Rattus norvegicus: one gene and its partner. The protein of the gene in region 2 interacts with the protein of the main gene of each other region in a pairwise test. Links are inferred from orthologs where the notes say so. Each region holds a gene or a part of one and is shown on either strand. Other genes may lie near its edges.

Region 1 (3,649 bases), on a different chromosome or scaffold from region 2:
GGTTACAGGCCTGTCATCCCAGCTGCTAGGACTCTGAGCCAGAAGAGTGGAGCCAGTCTGGACTGTGTAGACCAAGGCTGGTCATTGTCCACTGGTAGTCACTGGCATTGCCACTGCAGTGGAGGAGGGGGAGGGGCTAACTCCTTCGTGCTTGGGTTTGGAATGAGCTGACTGAGTCTGAAAGGAGCCCTTGTGCAATTCTGGGTCCAGTCAGGCCTCGACGGTGTAACCGTGGCCAGGCTGGGCTCCTAAATGCCCCATCTTTCATTCCAGCTCACCAACCACCAGGAGTTGTGGGCCTTCATCGTGACTAACCTTGCGAGTGTGTATATACGGGAAGGAAATAGACACCAAGAGGTAGTAGGTGACATGCTTCATGTTCGGTATCCTCCTCCATCTCCTGTGCGGGGGCTGTGGGTGTCCTAGGCACCCACAGACCTTAGAAAAGCCCAGATGTTTAGTGTTCTATGAGGGTTAGGACTGGGACAGCACTCCTGCAGCCATGTGGCTTTTGTCCCATCCTAAGCCACTCAACCTTTATTGACCCCACATTGTACCTAAAACAAACAAAAAATGTCGTAAGGTTGTCATGGTGCATGTCTTTAATCCAAGCACTCAGGAGGCAGAGGCAGGTGGATCTCTGGGTTCAAGACCATCCTGGTCCACAGAGCAAGTTCCAGAATGGTGAGGGCTATACAGAAACTCTGTCTCAAAAAAAAAAAAAAAAAAAGGACAGAAAAAATTGAGGAGTTTGCATCCAACTGGGGCTCTTGCTTGCTGCCAAGCGGTCTGCCACAGAGCCATACCTCAGCTCCAAATCAGATAGAAGAAAGTCTTGTGTGGGTAGGTTGGTCATCCTCACAGGGCTGACCAGATAAGCCAAGTGCTTTTACCTGGACTTTCTAGCCAAAGCCACAAGAATTAGGTTCTTCTCTGACCCTAGGATATCCCACCCTAAGTCCCTCCAGAGTGGCCCATATTCTCTGACCTCTGCAGCCTTCATTCTAACCATGGCCAATGTCCTCTCTCGTCTGTACAAACCGTGGCCAACTTTCCACATCTGGGCTGAGAGAAGCAGGAAGCCCAACCTCTGTCAACCTGGCTGTTAGGGAGCTGAAGCAGGATTCTTGGTTCATAAGGATAGTGTGTGTCCCAGTGTCCCCACTCTGCTCCTGTCTCCTACATAGTTCCCTCAGACACTCGGTCTTGAAGCTGTTCAGGGCAGGCATGCTGCACGTTATGATAGTCTTCCCGTGGAGTGGAAGAAGCCCTGTCCCCTGTAGCATGTTCAGGGCCTGGCCTCCTCTAGGTAGAGTCCTGACTGATGTTTCTCCACCAGCTGTACAGTTTGCTTGAGAGGATAAACCCAGACCACAGCTTCCCGGTCAGGTGAGCCTGCCTGTGTTCAGCACACACATTCTACTCCCTCATTGCTCTTGGGGTGGTGTATGTGCTTGCGGGCCCCAGACCTCACACATACTCAACACTGCTTGCATCCTAGCCTTTAGACAGTCTTCAGGGGCTGCCTTTGGGAAACTTTTCTCCCGTACCCAACTGAGACTCTGCTTCCTCGCAGCTCACACTGCCTCCGAGCAGCAGCCTTCTATGTACGAGGACTCTTCTCCTTCTTCCAGGGCCGCTACAACGAAGCCAAGTAAGTTTTGATCAGGGCACCATGTTTGATGGCCTCTCCTTCCTCAGTCTACCTCTGCTTCTCTAGGACTAATATGTCTGCGGGTATCAGCATCTGTCTCCTCTTACAGGAGATTTCTTCGAGAAACTCTAAAGATGTCGAATGCAGAGGACCTGAACCGCCTTACTGCCTGCTCCCTTGTGCTGCTGGGTCACATCTTCTATGTGCTGGGAAATCACAGGGTGAGTCCCTACCTAGCCGGTGCACAGGCTGGAGACCTAAGGAACACCACCACGGAAGGTGGCATTTCCTGTCCTGGAATCCAGGGTGTTAAAGGCACGAGGTCCTGGGGTTCCCCTCCTGGACATAGATGTCAGCCTCACAAGCCTCAGAACTAAGAGACAGCTGCCATGTTCCTGTAGGCTTCTCAACATACCATCCCTTGGGAATCCATGGCCCCATGAGACTGTCTCAGAACCTTAGACTAACAATGTCAAACCTTCCTGTGTCTGTGGCACCATCAACCATGTGGCTTCACAAGACTTCTTTACTTCAAATTATTGTCAAATGTATTGAGGGTAGCTTGGCTGTAGAGAGCAGGGAGTGACCTTTAGTATCCCCACTGCTGTGGCTTGCTGCTGGGGCATCTGCTTGGGCATTGGACAAGCCTGTTTACCCTGGGGCCTCTGGTGTGGTGTACTTCAGAGCACTTAGAGTAGCCGTGTGGGCCAGAAGTCTGCTTGTCTAACAGTGTTTCCCACTCCACGGCTTTCTGTAAAACACTCCCTTTGCCTGTATGAGCCTGGCTGGGGAGATAGCTGTGAGGTCAGGGCAGCCAAAGCGAGCCTGGTGGTTGAGCAGCAGGGACAGTTTGCTGAGCCAGGCCCTCGTGGGTACAATTATTGCAGCAGCCAGAGCCAGGTGGCCAGCAGAGATCTGACTCGTGAGGATCAGACCCTGTCCAGGCAGCTATAGAGCCAGCCCATACTTCTAGCCCCTCCTTGGGTCTGGAGGAGGGGGCAGCTCTTCTTGCCCACCGTGTCTGAAGTCTGAGAGGGACCCTACTCGGTTTGGTTGTAGCTGGTGGAGGTTAAGGTCTGAGTAACCCAGCTAAGCTGCATTTGGTCAGGTTGTTTTTCCATTAACCTGTGCCTAGAACTGGAATCTGGTTTGAGGCTTTTAAATTTTTGTTTTTGTTCATTTCTCCATTTGCTTATTTTATGTATGTGAATGTTTGGCTTGTGTGTATGATAAGCACCATGTGTGTGCCTGGTGTCCACAGAGGTCAGAGGCGGGGGTCAGATCAGATTCTCTGGTACAGGAATTAGACAATTGTGAGCTGTCATGTGGGTACTAAGAGCTGCACCTGAGTACTCTGCAAGAGCAGTGAGTACTCTCCACCTCTGTCACAGAAAGGACCCCAACCTGGGCCTGCAGTCTGGGAAGGTAGAACAGTTCAGCGGGGCCTGGTTTGGACTCAGAACTACCTAGGGTTCCTCAGTGTGAGGTCAGAAACAGAACACTGCACTCCAGGTCTCCCCTAGCCTCATCATGAGAACACTGGGCTTCTAGATCAGCAGCTCTGCACACACAGAGGGAGTCACAGGCCTAGAGACCCCATATCCCCACAGTAGCCTACAAAAGCCAGCTCAAAGGAGCAAATCTTCTGCACTCAGTCCTTTAGCTCCCTTCTCTTGAAGCCTAGGTTGGGACACCCGCATGAATGTATAGTTTATTAATCATTTCTAATTGTGGGGCCACAGCCCTCTTTTTCTCTAGCTGGCAAGAGGCATGTATGGCTCATTCATTGCCTCGTGTGCAAAGGGGAGCAAGAATGCTCAGTTTGTTTTTTCCAAGGTGAACAAGAGTACCTTAGAGGGCCGTTTTGGGTAGGCTCTGAGGGTGCAGTTCATGTTTGTCCAGGAGCAACAGAACATAAAATGGGCAGATGGAGTCAAAGATACTCTTCCATGACCTCACTGTTAATTCTTAGCTTTTGATTGGCAGGAGAGTAAC
Region 2 (3,649 bases):
GTATGTTCTGTAGTGCTGCAGTGACAAATTTTGTCATTGCCGTTAGTGTGGTACAGGAGTAGTTTGTAAAAGGTTTACTTGACTTAGCGTAAGCACTTGTTCTCTACATCACAGATGCTGCTTCGTATGCCTTGAAGTACCAGACACGGTTCTAAAAGTTTACCACCCCGGTTACTGCAGCAAACTTACCCTGTGGTCTCACACTCATTACTAAGTGTAGGTCCACAGGTTATAGGGTTTTTATAGGTTACATCACAGTTTCACTAACAGATAGGGGGGATAATGCTTGGGAAACATTGTTAACACTATTTTGTCAAATTTCGCACTCCTAACATTTGAAAATGCATTTTGTTCTTAGGATACTGGTATCAGTGTCAGGAAAAGAGTAATAAAGATTTTAAGAGACATCTGTATTGAACAACCAACATTTCCAAAAATTACAGAAATGTGTGTAAAGATGATTCGGAGAGTCAATGATGAAGAGGGCATTAAGGTAAGATGAAACTCTGATCATATGGGATTTCTTTTTTATTACTGTTAAAATTATTTAGGTGTTTATCGAATCTTTTTTATTTTGTTTCTAAATTTTATATTACTAAAATGTGGTCTTTTCCAACATATTCAACCATTACAATACTTATTTAACTGTAGTGACTGTATTTTATCCAAAATTATTACCAGATTGAAATTATCTTGATTTTTAAATAGAATGTTCTTGATTTTCAGTTACAGACTTGCCTACAGCCTGTAGGGCATTTTCTCATTTGAAGTTCCCTTCTCTCAGATGACCTTAGCTGGTTCTGGTTGACATAAAATTGTCCTGTATAACTGACCCCTTGTCAGCTTGACACACAAACAAATCACTACAAAGTCACAACTTTTCTTGTTCATCCTCAAGATCTAACATTAATATAAACATCATAATAGGAAACATTTTACAAACTTAAAAGTCCCACGGTATTACAAATTCAAACATGTTAAAGTCTTTTAAAGTAGAAAGTCTCTCAAGTATGGGCTACTATAAAATCAAAATTAAGTTAAAGACTTCTATTTCGAGAGGAAAAAATGAGGACACAGTGACAATCAGATAAATGTAAAACCATATTCCAACAGTGTAATCACTCAATGTCTGGTATTTAGGACTCACAATCTTCCAGACTCCTCCAAAGGGCCTGGGTCACTTCTCAGGTTCCACAGTCTGGGAACCACACAGCTTGTGTTCTTGACTCAGGCTGGGTCCACTCCACACACAGCTGCTGCTGTTTCTGACAGTCCTCCCGTGGTGTTGGCATCTTCAAAATGCAGGCATCTTCTATTGCACCTGGGCTCACTTTCACCAATAGGCTCTCTCCATGATGCAAAGCCTCAGCTTCTCTCCATGATCCCTTCAGTCCTGGGGCTTCCACTGCTACTCTGGCTACACCTTCACAAGTGGCCTCCCTTGGCTTCCTGTAGTGCCAAACCTCAGCTGCTCTCCATGACCCCTTTTTGCCTTCAAAACAAGTACCACCTGGGAGACATGACCAAGTTTGGGTGCTAGCACAAAGTTACAACCTTGGCTACCTCTGAATACAGCTTCTTTATGCTGACTCTGAGCAAACACTTAGCAAAAGATTTCACCTGAGTGGTGCTGGCCTCTGCTTATTAACCACCAGTTTGTCAGCTCCAAGTGACCAACATCAGTTGTCACAGTAAAGCAGTTTTTCGTTAGTGTTTCTTATGTTTTGTTACTCACAGCGTATTCTCCAGCCCTAGCTAACCAGAACCACAAATTCTTAGCTCAAAATAGCAAGCATCTCTGATAGAGTCATTAAGAAACCCTCAAATTCCTTTTGAAATTTCACAAGTCAGGCCTCCTTTTTCTGCATTGCTCCCAACATTCTACCAAGCTCCCATAGAACAGCTCACCAATGGTTTTTCTTGCCCAAAGTTCTACAGTCCTTCCACAATCTTCCCACAAAGAACATGGTCAGATCTATGACAACAGTGACCCACTCTGCTGGTACCAATTTCTGTCATAATTAGGGTTGCTATTGCCATGAAAAAATACCATGAGCAAAGGAACTTTGCAGTGAAGAGAGTTTGTTTGGCTTACCGTTCGCCTCACTGTTCAGCATTGGAAGAAATCAGGACAGGAACCCAAGCAGGGCAGGAACCTAGAGGCGGCGGCAGCTAATGCTTACTGGTACTGCTTACTGGCTTGCTCCATCTGGCTTGCCCAGTCTGCTTTCTTAGAGAACCCAGAACTGATTTTAATTGAGTTTTCTCTGCTCAAATAACTTTAGCTTCTGTTAAGTTGATCCCACACAAGTTCCTCCCTTTAAAGGAATAAAAGGGAGCTATGTAGATAGTGGGTAGGAGCAATTTTTTACAAGCATGAAAACCTGAGTTCATATCTCCAGCATCCACATAAAAAGCTGGATGCGGCTGCATGTGCCTTACCTCTAGCATTGGGCAGGTGGGGGCAGGCAGATTTCAAAGGCCTCTCTGGCTAGCCAACCCTACCAAAACCGCAAGCTTCCAGTTGAGTGGGAGATCCTGTCTCAAGACAGCTAGGTGGAAAGTGATAGAGGTTGACACCTGGATATCCTGTTGTCTCTTATGTGCATTCACGGATGCGCGCATGCGCGTGCGCACACAGCCGTAACAGTGGTTTTAGTCTGATCAAAAACAAGTCAGGGGCTGTGCTTGCTGGTCTTGCAGAGAGAGAACCCAGGTTCAGATTCCAGCGCCCACACAGGTGGCTCACAACCACCTGCACTCACTCCAGCCCTAACGGATCCAGCGCCTCCTCTGGCTCCTGCAGGCACTGCACACAGGTGACGCACATAACACATGCACACAACAGACACATTTTTTATTTTAAAAGTATTTTCTGCATAAGCTATAGGCTAAACATAGTTTTACTCATCCTCTATTTGAAATCTCAACCCATTAGACAGAATTTATAATTAGTGAAATCTGTTGTTTTAATCACAAGAAAATTTTTAATTAACTTAAACTTTTCTTTTTTAATAACTAGCTTTGTGTTGGGCTTTAATGGGAATTTACAATTAATTAAAAGTTTGCGATCTTTGTTAGTAATTGATTGGGTTTCTTTGTCTTCTTCTAGAAATTAGTAAATGAAACATTCCAGAAGCTCTGGTTTACTCCAACTCCACATAATGACAAAGAAGCAATGACAAGGAAAATTTTAAACATCACTGATGTGGTAAGAAGGTCGGACAAGGGTGTGGTCACTGTGAATGCAAGGCAGCTGATGCGTTGCCATGGTGACGTGCTGAGCCTGCCACTCAGTACTGCTTCCCTTGTATTTCTGGGACTTCTGGGGCTCAAGTAAAAGGGGAATGGTTCACATGGCTAATTTCTTGATACTCATGTCTATAAATAAGTATTAATATTGTTGTTTTCCTATTCTTTCATAATTGAAAACAGAAAAGAAAAACAAGAGAATCATTTTTTTAATTATACATAAATAAGCTATAATTTGCTGATCCAGAATGCTTCCTATTTGTTGAATATTAGCAGTTTTTATATATACTTAGTTGCATGGTTCTCCATTTTCACAGTACCAATAAATCTTCGATCTAGAGGGTGAAGAGACAAAACATTTTTTTCATTGTTTGAAACCTTACAGATTTTTCTAATA

What was found. The genes of interacting proteins can lie anywhere in the genome.
Region 1: the proteins of Nipbl (region 2) and Mau2 interact in binary tests that used the Homo sapiens proteins (3 or more experiments, as listed by UniProt). The link is inferred for Rattus norvegicus from reciprocal best matches to the Homo sapiens genes NIPBL and MAU2.

The regions. Positions count from the first base shown.
Region 1 is NC_086034.1:19,438,171-19,441,819, forward strand, and holds part of Mau2 (MAU2 chromatid cohesion factor homolog), read left to right. Parts: intron 1-273; coding exon 274-360; exon of another isoform or gene 361-413; intron 414-1,339; coding exon 1,340-1,389; intron 1,390-1,576; coding exon 1,577-1,654; intron 1,655-1,763; coding exon 1,764-1,875; intron 1,876-3,640; coding exon 3,641-3,649. UniProt on the Homo sapiens protein: Plays an important role in the loading of the cohesin complex on to DNA. Forms a heterodimeric complex (also known as cohesin loading complex) with NIPBL/SCC2 which mediates the loading of the cohesin complex onto chromatin.
Region 2 is NC_086020.1:59,157,245-59,160,893, reverse strand, and holds part of Nipbl (nipped-B-like protein), read left to right. Parts: intron 1-358; coding exon 359-493; intron 494-3,112; coding exon 3,113-3,211; intron 3,212-3,649. UniProt on the Homo sapiens protein: Plays an important role in the loading of the cohesin complex on to DNA. Forms a heterodimeric complex (also known as cohesin loading complex) with MAU2/SCC4 which mediates the loading of the cohesin complex onto chromatin.